Linked DNA regions of Caenorhabditis elegans. The protein of the gene in region 2 interacts with the protein of the main gene of each other region in a pairwise test. Each region holds a gene or a part of one and is shown on either strand. Other genes may lie near its edges.

Region 1 (6,594 bases), on a different chromosome or scaffold from region 2:
TTAGGTTAAAATACATTTAAACTTCAAATTAATTCGTTTCAATTTCAGCAATACCAATCTGCGATTCTCTACGTAAATGACGACCAAAAGAAAGTCGCTGAAGAAACTTTGAAAGTAGCAAAGGACAAGCATGGAGACATTGAAACATATATTGAGCCATTGGACAAGTTCTATCAAGCTGAAGATTACCATCAAAAATATTGGTTCCGTCAAAAGAAGATTCTTTTCGATGAACTGTCTCTTCTTGATACTCAAGTTGCTGAAGGAGAACTTGCCACAAAATTGAACGCATATTGTGCTGGCTTCCAGGACTTCCACGATCTTGAGCGTCTTGCAAAAGAGTACGGATTAAAGGATTCTTTTGTCAATAAGGTGAAGGACTATGCTCTGTCAGGAGGAGATCCAAGAAACTGTCATGCTTAAATTATATGAATGTACAATCGAACTTTTATCAGGTTTTCAATGAATTTTATTTTATCACAGATTCTTGTGTTTGTTTGTTTAACAAAGGAAGATATTTGAATATTATACTGCACTTTCAGATTGGTATTTAGATTCCAACTTTGTGCGAATATTGTTGCATATCATATTAAATGGATTTGAAGAGTTGTTGTCATCATAAAGCACATTGCTCAAAATTGCGTAGGCTGTAACTTGAACATATATGAAACGTTGAATAATTCTGAAAATCTCACCATTATTACCATACAAGGCTTTGAGCCCAATTTCACTGTTAGCTAAAGTACCAATACATACAGCAGCTTTGTACCGTATCCTTCTACAGTAATCCGCATGGATTGGATGGGTAAGGGATAAAAATTCAAGAAGCACTGGAATTGCATTTTGATCAACCATTTGATGATCTAAATGACGGGCGGCAAGGCGAGAAAAGGCTGTAACAATTTGTTCCTGGACGAAGACAGTGGCACAATTTTCTCGATTATAAGCAGATATCAGACGACGAATTGAATTATTTCTGAAAATATTTACATTTACATGTTGCAAAAAACTTTTCAAAATCCCAAAATAGAGAGCGATCCTATAAATTTTCAGATTTTTTTTTAAATTCGAGACTGTTTTCAGTTTTATCTGGTAGGCTGGTTTACCGTTTTGTAGTTTCTAGGTAACTTGTAGCAATTGCTACAAAAGTTAGAACAAGGAATTCGCCTTGAAATTTTGCATTCATTTTCTACAATTACGTGCTATAGCTCAATTTAATGTTGGTTCAAATTTAATTTTGTACTGAGCTTTTGCGAAAATAGTTAAATGCTTAAAATTCAACAAACCTGTACATAATATCAACTCCATTTGGGTTCTGAAGTGTCACATTGTTCAATGCAGCGGTTGCCAAAAGCAAAGAGTCACCTGATTTACATTGATCTATTAGATCTGAAATTAATTATTTAGTCTCCAATTTTTATATTTAAATTGGTTACCCAAAAGTCTGGATATAATTGGTTCCACATGATTTAACCGAATGAATGCAGACTGAGGATTGGTAAGTTGTGTCAGAATACCAGCTGCCTCGACGGAACAGATTGATGAGGAAATGGATAAAAGTCTATCAATAACCAAATCCAAGCCTCCTTGCTGAAATTAATCAATTTGTATTGATTGAATTTGTATTGAATTTGTATTGAAAAGTATTGATTATAAAATATATCTAATTACCGTGAGCAAAGCAAGTGCTCCTTTTGAAACTCCACATAACACTGCCAATGTTCGAAGTAAAAATCTAAGAGTGTTCTCCTGTGGTTGATCATTCTTCATAATTCGAATAACTGATGAGATGCATCCTTTTTGAATTGCTTCAATACAAAGTTCATCTCCAAATAAACAAATATGAATAAGATGCTCTAAACAAATAGGTGTCAGACGATCTTTTCCATTACTTTCACATAGATTCTTGGATATTATCTGAAATTAAATATTTGAATGAATTGAATAGTTAAACTAAAAGTAACTTACCCTCACAAACACCAAAAGTACTGATTCTATAGACTTTCTGAGAAGAATCGCAAAAAAGTTTGTCATATTATTCATGTCAATTATTCCTTTATCTCGATTTCTGGAAAAACGTAAGGTAACATTTAATTTGTTTCAATAATAGATTTACTTTTGTAACTCTTGAACATTCATTTTTAATCGAGCCATTTCAGTCTTTGGAAGATAATTTGTACATGGAGATGATTCAAGCAGTTGGATGAACACAGAAGACTTAAATATTAACTTTTGTAACTTAATTCAGTATGCACAAAATACCTTTGCCAACAAATCTCTGCAAGTTGCTGGATCCAGAGCTGAAGAAAGAAGAGTATACAAAGCAGATGATGTTCTGAGAACATGATCCATTGTACCTGAATTTTCTCTTTAAAAATTCAATTTCCAAATAATGACTACTGACTAGCCATTCTCGCATAGCTTGGCATCCCTGTATCATCATCATCTTTACTTTCTTGTCGAGTTGAACAATTTGATCTTCGTTCGATTTGATCTCCGGAACATTGTCCAGAGTCGACACTTGTGATGCTATCCGAACGAGTACTGTATGGAGATCGGAGAATTGTATTTGCGCTGTCAGTGCTCATGTCTATTCTGTAATTGCAAAATTATTTTATCTTTAATGTTAAAAATAATTATTTAGTACCTGTTCATTGCCTGTTGAACATGTGCTCCATTAACAGTTATTGTGTTTGCTCTTGAAGAAGTTGGAACTGGTGGGGCCGGAGACAAAATTCCATTTCTTTGTGGTTGCACACTAGCTGAAAAAATTCAATTTTTCCAGCAAAAGATAACGAAATAAAAATTACTCACATTTCATAGAATTCCGTCGCAAAACCTGAAACTGTTCATACGACGGAGGCGCTGTTTTAGGAGTTGGTGTTCGACAACCAGATGGAGAGTTGCTCTTTTGGCTCAGAGCTCGTGAAATGTTTCCTCGGAAGCCGGGCAACTTGATCTGAATGGTTCAACATGTGTTGCCAATCAACGAAGCAATTAAGATAAAATTTAAGGGGTGGTGAAGGGATAGAAAACGAGAAAAAACGAAGGAATAAAAGAAAGTGAACTCACATTTCGAATTATTGCATCCTCGGTGTCCGTTGGGCAAGACTCTATAAAAACTCGAGTTTGAGAAACAGGACGGAAATGTTCAAAACTTGAAAGCATTTTTATGCCGCAAGTTTTCCCAGTGCTCTAGGGAAAGTTTAAGGAAAAGAGAGTTCATAAAATTTATGTTGGGAGTCAACTTTTTGTTTCTTGATTCCTTTTTTTAAGTTGCATTGTTTTCTATCTAGTCCAGATGAATTCAAGAAAAAATCGTTAAAATTGTATTGCGCAAAAATTGAAAAAATGATACTGCCTAAAATCCAGAATAATTTCATTTTTGCAAGGTATCAAGTTTCTTTCTTTCTGAAAAATTTAAGGGCATTTGACGTGTTTTAGCTCTCTCACTATCGTTATCAACTTTTAAATTCTCCACAAAATATTTACCAGCATGAACGGACGAGCACAAAGTAGTGCTACTTGAGTTATACTTGTCACTCAGACTGTTGTTCATCATCTCAGCGATAGAATTCCTTTCCAACAATTGAGGAAGACTTGCTGAAAGTTGTAACATTTATAAAGTAATTTTCATTTTGTTACTACCTGCACAATCATTTGCTCCACTTCGTAGCCTTGCTATCCTCCTTTGAGGTTTTGGAGGAGCTGATATATTGCCCAATGAAGTTGATAACATTGATTTGCTGAAAATAAAATAACAATTAATTTATATATTTTAAAATTTTGATGATTTGAATTACCGAAGAACCATTGATTTGAAAGTAATCAATAATACTACAAATGAATGAAATAATGAATTTATTCTTAATGCGGATCAAATTGCAAACTATCTCTTTCCCATTCCGCGCGGTAAATATCTTTTCGCACCAATAGCTACTGTTTGCTTTTTTGATTTGACTTTTGGAGTTGGAAGCTTGAAAGAAAATGTGGATAAAATAACTTATTTCTCAAACTTCTGTATATAAGAACTTTATACGAGACGAGAGATATTGATAGAAAGTAACAAAGAATCTCGGAAAGAGACATGCTCAACAACTTGAGAAAAGTCATTAATTATTTGAAGATGGCGGCCAAGATGACACCTGTTCGCATCCAATTTCTTGGCGGAACACAACAAAAATTAATTACAAAATTTTTGCTAAAATATTTCATTAAAGTAAAGAAGAAGAAGCTTGTAAAGCGAAAAAGAAGAGCAAAATGATTTGAATGACCGCAACTAGTCGGGTAACCCGACTCCCTGTGCATTGAACAACAAACAACCACTTTACCTGTAGCCGACCGAGATTTTCTTGGCTCCATAATATTCTTCATCGGGTAATTGTACGATAGATTCCGGAGTTGGAAGCAATGGTTTTGCATATAAAATTGTTTGGAGCTCGTCGTCTCGGGCATTTGCCAAACTTGAGAGCCATTGCTGATGAAACCGGGTTACAGTAGACTGAAATTAATTTTTATTAATAAACAGTTTTCATCTGATTTCTGATTTTTGCAATGTTTCAAGCTCATCAAAAATATTTCCAAGAGATTGCTTCTTTGTATCAGTTAACAATAATTTTTTGAAAGCATTTTTCAAGTAAAGCCTAAAGTTTAGAAGGGTCTCTTTTTTTTATTTCTTTCTATTATAAATTTTAATAACAATAAATTGAGACCTTTGGAGGTTGTGGAACTATATCGAATAAATTCTCGTTTTCCAGGGAATCCCAGAATCGGGCCAATCGGGCCATGTTTATATGAGCATTTAGCTGAAAAAAGTAAAAATTGAAAAGAAAGAATGAAAAGTGAAAGAAACGAGCAGTTCTAATTATTAGTTGTCACTTTCACTAGGACGCTCCAAGTATATTCATAATTTTATAAAGATATTGTTGTAAGAAGTGTGTCTCTTCTTGTCAATGCGCGATAATATCCAAGTGGGAAGCCCATCGGGACCTTGTGAATATTGTATGAAATAGAGAGACACAGAGAAAAGTGAAGGTGATAAATGATGAGTTTCTCAAAACAAACATAGACTTCTCTATTCGGGATCAGTTCATGCGCGCGGCAAGTGAGAAGAGATGAATCGACGTGGGACGCGGGAGGCAGGCGGAAGTAAGATTGAACGAAAAAAAACGAAATGTCAAAAAATTTGTGGAGCAAATATGCCAATTGGGTTCCGGTCTAGTTGAATGCATTGGACATGTTTTGAGGGAATGCAAATCAGCTGGTGAGTTACAAAGCAGGCGGAAGGGTAGAGGTCACAATATCTCAGAAATAGAGAGAAAGAGAGCAAGATGAGCACCCACAGGAGCAATTTGTGTACTACATAATATGATAAGATGTGCAGACTTTAATTTTAATTTATAAAAAATCTTGAATATATTATAAGTATCAGAACATTTAAAAACAGAAAAAAATTTTAGAGTTAAAATGAAAATTAATGTCATATCGTCTTTGGAAGACTAATAAAAATGTATATTTACGCAAATATTATAAGCTATAGATGGTGTTCAAATCACACGTTTTGGCATTTTTTGGCAATTTACCAAAAGTGTGTCTAAACATTTTTTTTCCAACAAAATACCAACTGGTGATTTAATCATGCCACAAAGCTGAATTTCTACACTTTTCAATAAACTTTTTCAGTTGAATATATAGATTTAAATTTACTAGAGCTTCAGGTATGATTTGATAAACGCGCCTACCTCAGACCTAAACTCCGGAGTTTGGTCAAATTTTAAAAAAATCTGTGATTTTCAAGTTTAACAAAGTTTAAAAAAGTTTGAAGTTTTAATTTAAAAGTTTAAATTATGTTTAAGTTTAGGCAGAAGCTTCTAGAAGTGAAATCTAATTTTTTTGTATATTTTGAAGAGACTCTTCAAATAAATTTCTATAAGCGAAAAATGCTCATTCTACATGATATATACCCCCAGGTAACCTAATTACACTAAAACACAATTGTTCCTAGAAGAAACTAAAGGTTATTGCTAATAAGTTTTTGTCTACTGTTCCTGCAAAGATAATTAACTTTTTTTATGATGAGTGCCTCCACTGAACAGCTAGAATTTCGTTTTGTTCTAACAATAAGTTTAAACAACACGTATTTTTCTGACTACTGTAGAATTCTCTAAAACCTATTAAAATTTAAAGGGCAATAAACGGTGTGATTTGGGAGAATAACACCTATCTCGTGGGTTCATAGAGGATATAAATCAGCCAAAAAACCCGCTGTGATTCTCCGCTTCTTGATGATAAAAAAGATAAATGAGTGTCTCTTTTCCTTCTGGCTCCGCATCAAAACGTCACAAAACAGTGGGGTTGATGAGTGACATATGGTTGATTTCCAAGTGGATTTTTGCGCCCACCACCACCAATTGTTCATCAAATAGGGATTGTCTGGAATATTTTTAGAATGCGGAAACCTTTTTTCCGAAAACCTTTCCCCAAAAAGCATTAGAATAATATGAAAATTACAAAAGGATTTATTTACAAAAGAACATTGTATCAATTATCTTTGGAAAAATATCAAGATTATATTTCAGGCTTCACTTGAATCAT
Region 2 (3,974 bases):
TCATTCCAGCAATCCTTATTCCTTCCGTGTTGGATAACGACCTGTCCCCAGGCGTTTCTATGGCTTTTTCCTCCCATTTTGATCGTTGAAACAGAGATGTTTGCTTTTTTAGAATTAAATTTATGCAACTTTTTAGACTGTGCACTTAAATAGAAGATCTAGAAATAATTAAACGAATTTTAAATGCATAGTCGCAGTAGTAATAGTAAATTGACTAAAGAAAATCATTTTTTAATTTTTAAACAATTTTTAATGAAAGTTTATCTCTGAATCTTTTGAATATCCCTTGTGTAAATTTGTACTTGACCAATTGTTCCAAATTTGTAAATATCAGTTTTTGCAGAAGCAACTACTTTTCGTTGAAAAAATTCACTTTTAAAATAGTGAGACTAGGTGAAAATGTTGTGAATTTTGGCATTTATAGCTACCACGATCGTGGCGAGACCCACTCAGATTAACAGCGTGTGCCTTTAAGTGACTTTTGACTTTTTCCCTAAATTACGATATTAAAAAACTTCCCATGCTTTTTTTTTCATTTTTTAAAATCAAAATTTGCCACAATAGTAGGATTGGAATTTATTCCATGTTTGAGGCTTCTCTAAAAACAAATTTCTAAATAATTTAGAGTTTTGTTTTAATCTTTTCTTTCTCCTATTTCACTTCTTAAATCTCATTTTCTTATCTTGGCAAAGTAACCTAATAGTCAAATCGATTGGCTTGTTGATCTTCACCATAATTTGACCCAAATCAGCTCGCCGCGTCGGTTTTTTTTAATTGACCGATTAGTCGCTATCACAGACGCTATTCATTAATAAACGTCAGCAGGAAGACCTAGTAATCTAGTTATCCACTTCACAACTCGATCAATAATTGCGGATCGGCGTGTTTCAACGAATACGGGAAGACAAGAGAGAGATAAGTTGTTTTTAGTGTGTGTGTATGGGTGAGTGTACGACAGTACCTACATACTGGAGGGGGAATATCCTTGACCCTTTGAGCGCGGACGATGCGACTTCCACCTTCTTTTTAATACATGCTCTGGATACAAGATATCTACCCATTTTTGTTTCTTTTTCTTTGTAGAAATTAATTATTGATCTGTAACTGTGAGGGCAGCAAAAATATTATAAGCCGATTATTTTTTCGCAATTCCAAAATGGACAATATGACTTGCATAATTTGATTACTGAAAAAAAGTGGGCCTTTATAATTTCGACATGAGCATTAACGCTCATATTTTCTGTTAGACAAACAATCTGTGGGTATTTGGTATTTGCAAATAAATATATTTGCATTGGCATTACAGAATCATACTATTTCCCCGCTATTCTGCAAGTTGTGTACAGGCTCAGTTGGTCTACTCTTGATGTTTTGATAGTTGTCTCTTTTTGGTTTTTTTCCTGTAGAAGATGGCTAGTAATACGTGGCTTAAGAACAAGATGAAACCGGTAGCCTTCTTTTTTCTCTTTTCGAACTGCAAAACGAACTGCGGCGACGGCGATAATGTGTGTGCGTGTCTGCCGACCGTACACCCCGCCGCCGAGATATATCCCTTCACTCCGACCGACGTCTTCCTCTTGTGTCTTCTCTTCACACCATAGGCGCTGCTTTTCGTTTTCAATCTTCCGCTTTCTATGTTTCTCTACATTCCTTCAATTCTTCATCATCCTTCCTGGTCACTCTATGACATCTATAAAACAAGTCAATTCCAGAATGCTGCTCCGATTGCTCGCCGTGCTCGGACTTTTCGCCGTTGGAGTCTCGGGGGGACCTACCAGATCTTCCAAGCTCGTCTTTCTCAATGAGGAAAACTGGACAGATCTTATGAAGGGAGAGTGGATGATTGAATTGTAAGTTGTTTCATTGAAAGCTCCAATTTGGAACAATGTATATAGTTTGTACTTGGTAGAATTAACTACTAAGGTTCTCAAGCATACACTTTAAAAACATTTTAATTAGTTACAAAACTACAAAATTGATAACTGATAAATTTTTAAAAATCCGCCGAGATGAAAATCTCAATTAAATTCCATCTTACTAGTACCTATGATATGAAAAGATATAGAGTAGAATCTTTTCATAATTTGAATTCACTGTTGGTTATTAGAATCTTTCTAAATAGCTATAGAAGAGTTAGGTCTAGATCATTTGAAAAAAATAACTTTTAAAATTCCAGCCATGCTCCATGGTGCCCAGCTTGCAAGGATCTTCAAAAAGCATGGAACGCATTCGCCGACTGGTCTGATGATCTTGGAATCAAGGTTGGAGAAGTCGATGTTACCGTCAATCCAGGACTTTCCGGTAGATTCCTTGTCACAGCTCTCCCAACAATTTATCAGTGAGTTTTTGAAAGCTATTTATTTCTACAAAAATCGAACGTTTTTTTTTTCAGCGTCAAGGATGGTGTCTTCCGTCAATATTCTGGAGCTCGTGACAAGAATGACTTCATTTCATTCGTCGAGGATAAGAAATACCGTGTGATCGACCCAGTTCCAGACTACAAGCATCCAAACTCTAAGCAGTACGCTTTTTTGTGGCACAGCAAAAATAATATTATAATTTTTTTCAGAATGGCCGTCGTTGCCGTCTTCTTCAAACTTTCGATGTCGGTTCGTGACTTGCACAACCATCTCGTCGAAGATAAGGGAATCCCATCATGGGCCAGCTACGGACTCTTCGCCGGAGTTACTCTTGCTCTCGGATGTGTTCTTGGATTCGTGAGTTTTTTAAATAGAAATTTCTGTAAACATCGTGATTTCCAGTTCATCGTTATCATCATCGACCAAGTATTCCCTACTGGACCAAGAAAAAGCCAACAAGCCAAGAAAACCGAGAAGAAAGACGCAAAGAAAGGTACTTTAAAATATTCGGATTCTGATTTCTAAAAATTTATTTATTTTCAGATTCTGGAACTGAATCTCCGACAAAGAAAAATGGAAATAACAATAATGGCAAAGAAACGAAGAAGACCAAGTAAATTCTATGCAACTTCCAAAAACCCCAATTGTTTTACCTTTTGTGCATCTTGTTATTTTATTTCAAATTATAATTTAAAAACTTCAAAATGTTTCATATTTATCCCAAACCAGCAGTCTCTGCCCCAAGTTTTTGAATTTTAAAAAATTTGTTAATTATAAGTATTGCCGTCCCCCAAGATATATATAAGTCACTTCTTCCTATGGGTTCCCGTCTTTTTTGTCTCTTTTGTTTTCACCAATGCTTCTCTCCTTCTGCGCATTTCATTTCGGACTCTGCAACGACGACACGTAATTAAAGCGACATCTCTTGCTGCGAGAGCCAGTCGGTGCTGGTCGAGTGTGTGTTCGCTTTGGCGTCGTCACGCCTTCTTTCCCTGCTGCTTTTCGCTCCTCATTCAATGCATTGATCCGTTTGTCCGTTTTTTTGTCCTCTGCTTTCTCTCAAATATTTCACTTTTTACGAAAAAAGTTGTTAATAAATCATAATTCAATTAAAACCTTTTTTGATAATTCAGAAATATATTAGCGCATTGGGTATTCACAATATTATGCTATTGATTGGCTTTTTTGAGCAGACCCGTAAACAACTATTGTTCGAGAAAAATTCTTTGCATTTATTTTTCATAGGAAGATTTTCATAAACAGATTTTATTACTGAATATTTTCTTCAGAACCAAAAAAACTGTCTAAATATGGCCGCTCCATGGACTCCGCTCGAATCGAATCCAAGTGTCATCAATCCGGTTCGTTGTCTCGGTGGCGTCGTCGCCAGTACACGCACACAATCTAATTTAATTCTTCCTCCGTTTTTAGATGATCGAAAAAATGGGAGTGAGTGGCGTGAAGACTGTCGATGTGTTGTTCTTTGATGACGAGTCAATCGGAAAACCTCAGCACGCAGTTATCCTATGCTTCCCGGAATACAAAAAGGTATTTTTTGTGACAAAATTTGAGATATTACGAGCATGACAAAGAAAATTTAGGTTGACGAGATTA
Region 3 (3,992 bases), on a different chromosome or scaffold from region 2:
GGTTTCGGTGTAGGAGATGAAGACAGACCCGAAGCCCAAAGGAGATCCCCATTGTCTACAATAGCCTTTTGCTGGATACATAAAGTACGTAATTCCAAATGGTGAGAAGAAAGCCAACGGAATGAATGTGTAAAAAACGTAAGACGACCACTGAAAATAAGGCGTTATTAATAATGTTGACGGTATTTTCACTATTAGATTTGCGCATGTATCCCTCTACTTCAAAGGCTCATATCATGGTTGCTTTTGAGCGAAAGGGAGTGCAAGCATGGGTGCGCGGCAATTCTACAAAACGAGCCAGTGTGGCTAATTAGATAATTGTTACCTCTGCATGTCTGGTTGGAGTTACATAGACAATCATTCGAATGATAGAAAACAATAGTGAGGAAAACATTGACCAATAGGTTCCCCACATTTGTGACAGGTAAATAATTTTTAAGTAGTGATTAGGCTCCATGGCAGCACAGCTAGCTGTAACAAATCCGGTAGAAGGCACGCGGAATGCCAAATTATCAGTTATGAAGAAAATATAATGCTGAAAAAAAAAACAGATAACAAAGAAAAAATATAACCAGCTTACCGACAACTGCATAATAACCATAGATTTAAATACGTGCGGATGGATAGCTTTGGTAGCCATGGAAGGTTGGGAACAATAAATTATTGCCATTCTGATAAAACAGATAAGTCCGAGAAATACGCATGCTGACAGGCCTAGAACACACCAAGACACTGTATTCATTTTGAATTCGTAGTTCAGGTATCTACTGTCATTGTGAACAGACATAACCAATTCGGGAAACGTGGGCATTCTTCCCAAAAGTTGATTGAGCCGGAGTGAATCAGAAAGGAGAAAAGAAGAAAACTCAAAGTCAATAACAATGGTAATCTTTAACAAAAGTGTAGAGGTGTGACTTTATCGTTCAATTCTCAGGAGATTCAACCCATAAGATCTCAGATATTCTATATTCTATGCATAACTGATGAACACGTATAAGGAGTTGGGAATAATAATGATTTTAGTTTTGAAAATAACATCTCTTAAACACGAATCAGAGAAGCGGGAAAAATATCTAAATTATTGGCTTCAGAGTCATAATTACAAATGAGAAGAAAAATGAGAAAACCGGCTCTTTGACGTAAATGATTGAAGCTTACGGGAATGACTATTTGGGATACATTTCAAGTTCTGCATGGACTTGTGCACACTTGTAGTTTTGCAGTGAAAAATTATGGCTTTACATCTGACAAATACGTGGCGAAGAAGTGGAAAGGTATTACAAATGGTTTTTTTTTGGAAAGATTTCAAAAAGTTAAAGTGTGGGTTTCAAAACTGATAGTGGAACAACTAGACAATTTGGAGGGAAATATAATATATTGTTTTTTTCTGATTTTTTAAAAATGTTTCCAAGTAGCTTTCTCCCGATTTTGGCACAACGATGTTGTGGTGGAAAATCTCAAACTTGTCATCGATAACATTGATACATCTTTTTTCTGTCCTTCAACGGCTCTTTTTCACATATTGATGGGTCCCATTCGGTGTTTATTTCAAATATATTAATTGGCACGGTATGTTTTGCATTTGGACAGTGCAATGTGGCTATTAAAAACAGGCTTTAAACTAGTTAAATTCTACTTTTTTCTTCATTTCGATACGACGAAAACAATTTTCTCGCTCATCAACTCAGACCTGTAAGTTAATTTCTCAACACACTGTTCCCGCTGCGGCAAACCCGCCATCTTTTTCCTTATTGTGAATCGAGCGCGTTTGCACACACCGGGCCAACAGTGCAAAGCGTTCCCCCATTCAAACCGTCTTCGCCACACACCACCTCTCTTCCTCTTATTGTTATCGATTTTCACTGCCAAAATGTCATTTCAACTGGAGCGGACGTACGGCTTGAGAGCCCAGCATTGGTATCAGCCAGAGGTTTGTTCTTTTTAATTCAGATAATTTTTTGAAAATTTGAAAATTAATAATTTCAGACAAGTCTCTCAGATGTTGCACAAAACTTGTTCGCCGCATCGTTGCCAGATGGGGAAACGCAGCAGTTTCTTGACAACTCCAATAAAATTGCCAGCAATTTCTTTTGGCAGACGGTTCGCAACCTTGGGGTCATGATTTTGTCGACAATCTATTCGAAAACTGATATCAATGGAATGACCGGATTCGGAAACATGTTCCTTTTCAGTGAAAATCAGTTCGCCAAGTTTCTCGCAATCGAGAAAGAATCTTGGAATTCTACCGACAAAAAGGTATTTATGGGAAATTGTTTCACCAACCCGCAATTATATATTTCAGGTGCTCGATCTTGGAGCTGGCAACGGAGACATTACAGAGCACATGCGCCCATTCTTTGAGCATGTTTATGCTACAGAGTTGTCATCGGTAAGAACTTGAAATTAAAAAAAAAGGCTTTGAATACTGTAAAACATTTTATGATGACATAATGCTTTGAAAACGTTTTCTGCGTTTCTTTTCTGCGTTTTTGGCTTAATGTCAAGCAGTTATCCCAGTTTGAATTACCTAGGACAACGAATGTATCCAAATATTTGAAAAACGCCAAGCCGGCTGTTTTGAAATTCCCACTATGAAATTTAAATTTTTTTGCAAAAACGGAAACGTTACTCCTCCTGCAAGATTACTACAAACAAAGTTTTTTTGCAGAAGATGAGAAACCGGCTCAGCTGGAAGGGATACAATGTTCTCAGTGCACTCGAGTGGGCTGAAACTGATGTTAAATTTGATTTGGTCACCGCTTTCAACCTCCTCGATCGGTAAGTGAACAGAAACTCAGATTATTCAATGAAAGCTGCAAATTTCAGCCATTACTCGCCAGGAAAGCTGTTGAACGACTTGTGGAACGTCGCTCGCCGCTCAAACTGTAATGTCATCGTGTCGCTTGTGCTTCCAGTCAGCCATTACGTGGAATTCAATCCAAATGGACGAAGCACCCGACCTGACAACTACCTGAACGTTGCTGGTCGTACCTACGCCGACCATGTTCATCATATGATCGTCAATGTTTTCAAACCGGCAAATTTTGAGGTGCTCAGATGGACAAGATTGCCGTATCTTTGCGAAGGAGATATGAACAATGTGGGTGGAAGTTTGATTTGAAAATTTTTTCAAACATCAAAATATTTCAGTCTGCTTACTACCTTCCTGACGCGATCTTTCTTCTGAAACCCATCGAGCCAGAATCGCCTTCTTCCACAATCACACAGGAAACAACTTCCGTCTCCCAAGAATCTACATCTCATGCTTCACATACCGATCTTTAGACTTTCAACATAATTTATTCACAAAATACTCAGTCACCAGTCATTTATTACGGTTCTTTCAACATACCGTTGCTTCCAAATCGTGAATCCATTTCTCCAAAGTATTTTTGCAAGTTCGTGCTCACCCATTATATCGGTACCCATGATTTTATTTTTAAGTTTTAAATGAATTTTTTGAGACAAACAGCTTTACAGGAAAAGTGCATTTTTATATGTTAAAGTATTCAAAAAAGTTTAAAAAAAAACAGAAGTATACAGAATTTGAAAATCAGAAAATACGAGAGCGAGAATTATTACGACTGTTGTTTTTGGCTTGAGAGAGACGGGAGTCGCGGGAATCGTCACGCGGACAAGCTCTGGAAGATGTTCTCGAACCACTACGACTCGCTGTTGTTGTAGTCGACGCTCTGTAAACTCTATTAATTTTTCAAAAGGAAATATGATCATATTACCACCTTGAACCATTGAAAAAATATACAAGCAGAGAGATAAAAATTAGGCAATTAAACAATGGGATGGGATAATGAGGGGAACTGAACCAAATATGAAAACCAAATTGTGAAGAAAAATGAATAAATCAAGTCAGTGGTTGATGCTCATTTTACTCATACGTTGAGCCAAGGAGATTCTGAAATGGGTAAACGAAATGCAGACGACACAAAATATAATTGGCGTGAAGAAAAACTCACGGTGTTTTTAGGCGTTGT
Region 4 (7,574 bases), on a different chromosome or scaffold from region 2:
ACTTCCACTTGATCGATCTGTCCTCCGTTCTGTTGTACACACACGCTCTGGCGATTTTGATATTTTGTAGAAAACCGCTGTCGGTTTTTCCAACGGGTCTATTCTCCTTCCCTCTATCTCTCTGGATACAACCAATTTTTCCGCTTGATGAAGTTTAGAAACTATTGCAAGTTGGTTGATCGCTTAGATTTCTGTGTGGCCCCTAACACTGATGAAGGTCAGCACAGGATTTAGATGTAGCGTTTGGGGAGGTAGAAGAGGTTGGACCTGGTTCAGGCTACTGTACTTACTGTTCTTTCACAAGGAGCCTTGTTTGATTTGTTATGCATGTCTAAATTTGTTTAGTTCTGCAATTGTTATCATTAAGTGGACTGGACTAAAAATGATTCTAACAGATATGTAATTCTAAAATTTCTCAACTTCATAGCAGCTTGAAATAAGTTTTTAAAAATTAATTCTAACTCTTTATTGGTCTGGTTTTTCGCGCGGTTGTCATTAATCATTCAAGAGCTTAATATTTCAAAATTCCTTATTTTCCTACGTCCCAACCTTATCGTTTGATTTTTTCAACTGGTATACCTAATTAGAAAAACACGTTTTACGGCTTATGGCTTATTAAGTTGAAGCTTAATCTGATAAGCTTTAGTATCACTTTCACCTCCCCCCTCTTCTCCCGTTCACCTCTTTTCATTTCACAATCAATTTTCATTGCGGGAATCGGAGACGGCGAACGCTGCTGCTGCTGCTGCTGCTGGTTCCACTCTTCCGCTCGTGCCCCTTGCTCACCATCAGATTTCGCTTGCCTCATCGGGGCCGCGCTCCGAGTTTTGCTGTTTGTCCGCCAGCCCGCCTATTCCGTCCCTCTTGGATCCCACCTCCTAACCTTCTTCTGTCCGCGTCTCCTCCCGCGTGCGCACTCGCACGAACCGAACAGCGCGTCGCGCCTGTGTGCGAGCGCGCCCGCGACGATCACAACATCAGGGGGGCCCCCACACCGGGAGGTGTTTTACCCGTCGCCCCCCGGGAGCCCCCCCCACCTCCTCTCTCTCTCTCTCTCTCGGAGTTATGGTGATGGTCAAGTTTGTTTTTTACGCAGTTTTGACAGCTCACAATTCACTCCTCACTCCTTGTCTCTCGCTCATTTTTGCTACGCGACCTCCCGGTACCAGTCTAGGCCTCCACTTTAGTGGTCAGTTCATGACTACTTTCTTAGTGCCTTGTTTCCACCGTTCATGAGTTAACAGTGTGGTCAATTAGTGTTAAAGTGTGACCAAACTTATTGCTTTCATCTTTTGCAGCACTACGCTTTTATACCTGTTTTAATGGGTTCCTATTTAAAATTGGTAAACTAGGTGAATTTGGTAGTCATAATAAATTTAAAAAAAACATGTCTTCCTTTTCCAATTCCTTTTTCATTCTACCATTCCCAATTCAATTCTCATCTTTGTGGCCGATCTCTATTCTCTTAACGGTGGCTAACCTTCACACGTGTTTTATGTCTATCGCTTCGAGGAAGTCGTCGCTATTCTCAAAAAATACTCAAATTGAATCTTTTAAATTTTTTCTGTTTCCAGACTGACAAAACTCCACTGAGAAACGGAGGTGAACAAGACGCAAATCGAGTTGTTGCGAAAGCAGCCACAATCAGTTATCACTTCTCCTATATTCATATCAATATGACCACGTTTTGTCGAGTGTTGCTAATATTTGGTAAGATTTTAAACAACAAAAAATCGAAAAAAAAATCACTTAAAAAATGTTAATCTTTCAGGTATTTATGTGGCAGTTTGTTGCGCGCAATCAGTCGAAGACGACGTTTTTCATTTCACGAACCCGTCGCAAGGCAACGCCGTCTGGATACTCGACGAATCCAGTTTACCATGGACCGGTGGTTATCAGTTTTTAAGGTGAGTACACAATTTATACACTTTATACACTTTTGAAATGTGACCACACACACACACACGCCGCAGACCGCGGAAATTATTTCGAGTTACTTTGCCCCCCGGAAGCGTAAGGTAATCCTTACGCAAAACGTTCGTAAAATGTAGAACCTACCTAGTCATGAAATTTGAAACCTACATCCACATCAAAATACAAACGAAACATCTTAAAGCACAAAGGTTATTGCTTCTAGTACATAATAATTATTTTCAGGTCAATCTCCGGAATGCCAACTACACTTCTTTCGGTTGTTGACAGCTCAACAGGTGTTACGTTAGGTCAATGTGTTGCACCACAAGGTAAATTAATTTATATATAAAACCAGTTCTTTCCAGTGATAAAATCTAAATTTCCAGATGCCACCGGAAATTTCTCGAAACGATGGGAAAGGTTCAGCTGGGAGCTGACTGCCTCCGGGCTCGACTGCACATTCGAGCACGGAGCCGCGATACGTGTGGAGTTTGATCGTACTCAAAATCCACGCACTTTTTCGATCCGTATCCAATCGAGTAGGTTTTTTTCTGTAAAATTCATAAATTCTCAAATTCTCCCATTCTCTCGCACACACAACTTACATGCCAAGGTCAATGTTGACACTAATCTCAGAAGCGCTGTGCCTCTCGTTTTCGAAAAATTTGCGGTCCGATACCATGATATTTGCATTGAGCACAAAAACACACACAAATATGTTTTTGTGGATCTCCCCCCTCTTTGAAAAATGTTTTGTTGTTCGTCAAGTGGATCTTTCCAAAACGACTCGACCTGACGTTTTTTGTTCTTAGCTCTTTCTCAGCTCCCCACAATCCGGCAAAATCCATACAAGATTTCAACATTGAAAACATATGAATGAAATAATTTCAGTCACGGGACCAGCCTGCCTACGCGACGTTGTTGTCCAAACCGAACAAGCCACCGGATGCCCACCACATCTCTCAAGGAACTCGTTCACCGCCAACGCACTCAACTGTTCCTGCCCCTTCTTGGATGCAGCTAATGAGGATTCGGAGATTGGTTAGTGTTTTAAAATGTGTTGTTTTTTTTCCTTCTATTCTCAAACTATTTGTGGATGAGGATTTCCCAAGTAGCACTTTCAAATTGAGCGCGTGTTTTGTTTGTTTTTCGGGAGGAAAAAGTGGACATATTATTTGATAAATAAATAAGTGTGAAACGGACGCACATTCACTTTTTGCACTCGAGTAGCCACTTTGGTCACTTCGCATGTTCCGGCTCCATGCATGATCCTGCATGGGTCGAACACAAGACGTGAAGTGTGAAACAAAGAAAGAAAAACACTATTTGGGATTCACAATTAGTTCAAATTGTTTTTTTTTCCAGAAAACGAGGATGTCGATATGCTCGCCAACACACCTCAGTTCCCATTGTTCAAGGTTTGTTTATATTCCGATTCACAGTTTATGAGAAAAGTGCAAAATGGGTAGGGCGATGAAGAAGGATGAAGGAACTAAGTAATTTGAGCCCATTATTTATATTTGCATATTCAACTCATATGCTCACTTTTGAAAGTGAAGAAAGATGAACCAGATGTGTATGTATATGTAATTGGAAATGAGCAAAAAGCTATGAACTTTCGGATTGCATAAAAATTGTCTAGCGAACAGTATAACTACATTAGCAATGGCTCTACAATTTATGAACATACTTAACGTAAAGCTTCTGACAAAACCAGAGGTGTAAAAAATTCTTAGTTTCAACCAAACTTCTTGGAACATTAGCGTGAATGCTAATAAACTTAATTTTGTTTGTTTTCAATTTTTCCATAATGTCATCCTATCCAAACATTATTTCAGGGAATCGACCCCTCGGTTCTAGGAAGCGCCAACCCTCCAACACTTCCACCATCGCCATGTGCCAACCACGAATGTCACAATAACGGCACGTGTCTAGTTTCCCAAGAAGGCGCCGCCACGTGTTTGTGCCGTAATGGCTTCACGGGGGATCGTTGCGAGTTGGACGTATGCTCTTCGGTGCCATGCCAAAACGGCGGAGTATGCCGATCGAACAATGGAATCGCTTATTGCGAATGCCCGCCTGCATTCACTGGACTGCTCTGCGAATCGGTACGTGTGGCTTGTAGTACATTAAGACGTAATACGTCTATTATATTAAATCTTGTTTCTCAACTCTTTTCTTCTTTTCTTGACTTTTGAATTTTTTTTTCTTTTCTTTTTCATCGCATTTCTACAAGTCGATAACTCAAATAATTCAGGCCCACACCGACGAATCGGTTGCTCCAATTTGTAGACCGGAATGCTCCAACGGCCAATGTGTATTCAAAGATGGTCAAGCTCAATGCGAGTGTCGTCAGGGTTTCACCGGCGCCAACTGCAACGTACTTGACGTGTGCCTCGGGTATGAATTGACTCTTTTGGAATTTCAAAATAAAACAAAACGACACTCGACTGTCAAGTCGTTCTCGAGTTTGCTCTTCACTCATTAAGGCGACTATTCCGTGAGCTGACCCCCTCCCCCCCCCCCCCACCGCGTTGCTCCAGTGTGACAACTTGAGATGTTTGTTTTTGACCACCTTAAATCTTTCAAAGCTCGCGCAACAAAAAGGTTTTTGCACAAATGAGGAGAATTAGAGAACTACGGACAGGTGTGTAGCTCAACTGTAACTTTGCCCGACTGCTCGGCGGCGACGAGTGAAGCACGTAAGGGTGAGCGCTTTAATCTTGACACTTTGCGAAAAAGGGCAGTGGACTTTGTATGGGTTGTTGAAATATTACAAAATTTTATATGTACTTGTTAATTGAAATTAACAATCGAGTTACATTTTGGAAGATATTATAAAATTTTTATTATAAAGCTAAACATTATCTAAAAGAAAAACAATTGAATACCTATAAACATTTGTAATTTCATCTCACTGAACCTTTTGACCTGCTTTCCCGATTATGCGGTATAATGTTTCACCCTATCCATCCTGAAGCTTTTTCTTTGAAGCAAGTTCCAAGTAGACACAAGCGCAAGCGCCGTTGCCCGCACTGCTTTCTGTTTTTCTCCTCCTCCTCCTCTCAATTGCAAAAGAGCTGATTACACAACCTGATGAATCCGGAGAGGTAGGATGGAGAGAAAACGGTAAGCGCCCAAGCCGAGCATACATAAATACACACGACGACAATGACCTGTCCCCCCTGTGTCTATGGTCACTCTTATTTGCTCTCTCATTTCAAAACTTTTCTTCATCTCCATCCTCACCCAACTACCGATGGGGGGGGGGGGGGGGGCAGACGCTGCTCATTTTTCTTGAGCGCAACAATCCGATCGTGTCATACCGTTTTTCGTTTCGGTCATCATCATCATCATCATCTTTATCATCATGGTCATTATTATTCCGAAATTTCGGCACGGAAAACGGACGGCGGGATTGGAGGAAGTTGACAAAAACTCATTTGATGATCGGATTAATTAGGGGAGACGGCATGGGAGGCAGATAATCGCTTTTCGAGAAAAAAAAGGATGGAAAAAGATTTGATGAACGGAGTGGAATGTAAAGTAGACAGTGGGAAGCGACACACCCTTGTTGTTCCTAGTTGATCACTAATTCTAAAATTGGGGAATAGAAAAACTGGAGTTTTGTTGGTTTCTTTGTAGTTTTTGAGGAAATTTGGTAATTTGGTGATGCAGGGAAACATGAAAATACTAAGCATTATATAATTCGAATTATTGAAATTACTATGTTAAGTTGAAATAAAAGCTATCAAAACAGTCATTTCAATTCACTAACCATACTGATTTTGAATAGGATTAATGTTAAGACACTCATTTTCGATAATGAATTTCTAATGTCTTTAGTTAACTGCTGGGAAATTTTTTTTTGAGGAAAAGTGATTCAAGCAAACATGAAAAACCTTAAACTATACAACAATATAAATCAGCCATATAATTTCCGTTTCTTTTTCAGAGATGCCGCTTGTTCCATGTTCGGTCCATTGGCGAAATGCGTTCTCGATGACAACATGGACAAAATGTCCAGTCTCACATTGATCAACGGCACTTATGATTGCCTGTGTCCACATCCAATTCATGGACGTATGTGTGAATTTAATGAAACGAAAATGATCTGAGAACAGACCGAATCCTGTTTCCAGAATTTGTCGACTGCATGCAACTTCACGCACCATCTGCAACCAGCGTTCAGCCAACGGAACAAGTTGTCATCAACAATGTGACACCATCGTTCCCAGTTTTGGAAATTTCAAAGCTTCCGACAGGTAATAATAATAATTTGAAAGGGATTCAAATTGACTGGGGGGGGGGGGGGCAGGATAGCTCACTAGGTAGTGGTGGCCGCTAGCAATCTGGAGGTCACGCTTTCGACAGTCCCCAGCTAGAATGTGGCTAAAATTATATCCTAGCGGGAGCACCACCAGGCAGTGTACCTGACTCCTAGATCCGCAGTGCATTGCACTTGAATAACGGATCGTCCTTTAATCCTTCCTCCTAACCTTTATTTTCAATAACAGGTGCACCAGTGACTTTCACGGCTACTTCAACAACTCTTATGGTCACACAGCCAACTGTGACTGTTTCTCCTACTCATCAAGTTCCTTCTGAGCCATTTGGTACGTTTTAGGTTTTACTTTTATAAAATGAGTAGCCAATTCTAATTTCCAGTTGGATTCACAGTAACCCGTGCGCCACTTCGACCACTCGACATCGGCTCGACGACCCTTCCACCACCATTCAACCAGCACATCATTACCGCTGGAGAGCCAACCTGGAGCAGTCAGCAGCCACATCAACCATCAGAAGTACCAACCCAAACCACGTTCATCTTCCCACAAACCCCAGAAACCACCACTTTTGCACCAACAACTGGAACACAGCAGCCAGTGCACAAGTTTGTGTCACCAAGTGTTCCAGATGAGAATGAAGAAGAGGAGGAAGAGGAGACGACTGAAGAGACCGAGGAAACCTTCCCAACACCAAGCACAATGCAAGTCGCCACAAACGGACAATTCACAACTGAAACCGCATTTGTTACTTCGACAATTCCATCAACGACAACTGACATGGAAGAGACCGACGAAGACGAAGATATGACTGAAGAAGTCACTGATAGCTCAACGCAACCATCAACTACTGTCTTTGTTCAACCAACCACCACATTCACCACAGAAGCTCCAACGACCACAATGGAGGAGGAAGAGGAAATGACGACTGATCAAGTGGAGGACATCGAGTCTGAAGAGATTGCAACCACGACAACACAGACAAGCTTGCCGTTCTGGATGACCACTACCAATAAGCAAGTTGTACCAGATAGCCCAACACCAATGGTTATCATGCCACATCCTCAACCAGATGAGAAGATGGAAACGAGTACGGAAGGAGTTGTTGACGAGGAGAGCGACGAGGAAAGAACGACAGGTATACGGAGTTTTTATGCACTTTTTTTAATTTTGGATTATGGATTCTGGATTTTGGATACTGTAGGTGCACTGTTGTAGAACCGTAGTAGTACTATAGAGGTATTGTAGGAGTTTTGTAGGGGTGCATTAGTAGTACTGCATGTGCATTGTAGGGTTACTGTAATAGTACTATACTAATACTCTATGGGGTACTATAGGAGTACTGTAGGAGTACTGTACAGGTGCTGTAGGGGT

Evidence for each region.
Region 1: the proteins of dpy-11 (region 2) and insc-1 interact in a two-hybrid assay, tested with the Caenorhabditis elegans proteins (one large-scale study listed by BioGRID).
Region 3: the proteins of dpy-11 (region 2) and metl-9 interact in a two-hybrid assay, tested with the Caenorhabditis elegans proteins (one large-scale study listed by BioGRID).
Region 4: the proteins of dpy-11 (region 2) and eat-20 interact in a two-hybrid assay, tested with the Caenorhabditis elegans proteins (one large-scale study listed by BioGRID).

What each region holds. Positions count from the first base shown.
Region 1 is NC_003280.10:7,357,106-7,363,699, reverse strand, and holds insc-1 (Protein inscuteable homologue C-terminal domain-containing protein), read right to left. Parts: upstream 4,788-6,594; coding exon 4,713-4,787; intron 4,502-4,712; coding exon 4,332-4,501; intron 3,747-4,331; coding exon 3,649-3,746; intron 3,604-3,648; coding exon 3,493-3,603; intron 3,114-3,492; coding exon 3,073-3,113; intron 2,960-3,072; coding exon 2,815-2,959; intron 2,763-2,814; coding exon 2,648-2,762; intron 2,596-2,647; coding exon 2,405-2,595; intron 2,358-2,404; coding exon 2,263-2,357; intron 2,218-2,262; coding exon 2,117-2,217; intron 2,069-2,116; coding exon 1,969-2,068; intron 1,918-1,968; coding exon 1,672-1,917; intron 1,591-1,671; coding exon 1,437-1,590; intron 1,390-1,436; coding exon 1,287-1,389; intron 977-1,286; coding exon 696-976; intron 648-695; coding exon 526-647; downstream 1-525. Other genes in the region: msra-1 (peptide-methionine (S)-S-oxide reductase), read left to right, coding at 49-423.
Region 2 is NC_003283.11:6,511,085-6,515,058, reverse strand, and holds dpy-11 (Thioredoxin-related transmembrane protein 1), read left to right. Parts: upstream 1-1,712; 5' UTR 1,713-1,713; coding exon 1,714-1,850; intron 1,851-2,176; coding exon 2,177-2,338; intron 2,339-2,392; coding exon 2,393-2,521; intron 2,522-2,569; coding exon 2,570-2,717; intron 2,718-2,762; coding exon 2,763-2,853; intron 2,854-2,903; coding exon 2,904-2,977; 3' UTR 2,978-3,474; downstream 3,475-3,974. Other genes in the region: ubh-1 (Ubiquitin carboxyl-terminal hydrolase), read left to right, coding at 3,671-3,721, 3,792-3,908, 3,962-3,974.
Region 3 is NC_003284.9:5,176,993-5,180,984, reverse strand, and holds metl-9 (DREV methyltransferase), read left to right. Parts: upstream 1-1,834; 5' UTR 1,835-1,870; coding exon 1,871-1,930; intron 1,931-1,986; coding exon 1,987-2,256; intron 2,257-2,302; coding exon 2,303-2,389; intron 2,390-2,668; coding exon 2,669-2,778; intron 2,779-2,826; coding exon 2,827-3,100; intron 3,101-3,150; coding exon 3,151-3,285; 3' UTR 3,286-3,466; downstream 3,467-3,992. Other genes in the region: sru-48 (Serpentine Receptor, class T), read right to left, coding at 1-150, 326-535, 581-811; Zinc finger C2HC domain-containing protein zchc-1A, read right to left, coding at 3,554-3,692, 3,975-3,992.
Region 4 is NC_003284.9:15,515,081-15,522,654, forward strand, and holds the start of eat-20 (Abnormal pharyngeal pumping eat-20), read left to right. Parts: upstream 1-1,572; 5' UTR 1,573-1,676; coding exon 1,677-1,710; intron 1,711-1,771; coding exon 1,772-1,907; intron 1,908-2,157; coding exon 2,158-2,243; intron 2,244-2,300; coding exon 2,301-2,453; intron 2,454-2,805; coding exon 2,806-2,955; intron 2,956-3,138; exon of another isoform or gene 3,139-3,266; intron 3,267-3,279; coding exon 3,280-3,332; intron 3,333-3,752; coding exon 3,753-4,022; intron 4,023-4,171; coding exon 4,172-4,314; intron 4,315-4,358; exon of another isoform or gene 4,359-4,487; intron 4,488-4,882; exon of another isoform or gene 4,883-5,003; intron 5,004-5,869; coding exon 5,870-5,997; exon of another isoform or gene 5,998-6,003; intron 6,004-6,056; coding exon 6,057-6,179; intron 6,180-6,431; coding exon 6,432-6,530; intron 6,531-6,582; coding exon 6,583-7,338; intron 7,339-7,574. UniProt on the Caenorhabditis elegans protein: Regulates pharyngeal pumping during feeding.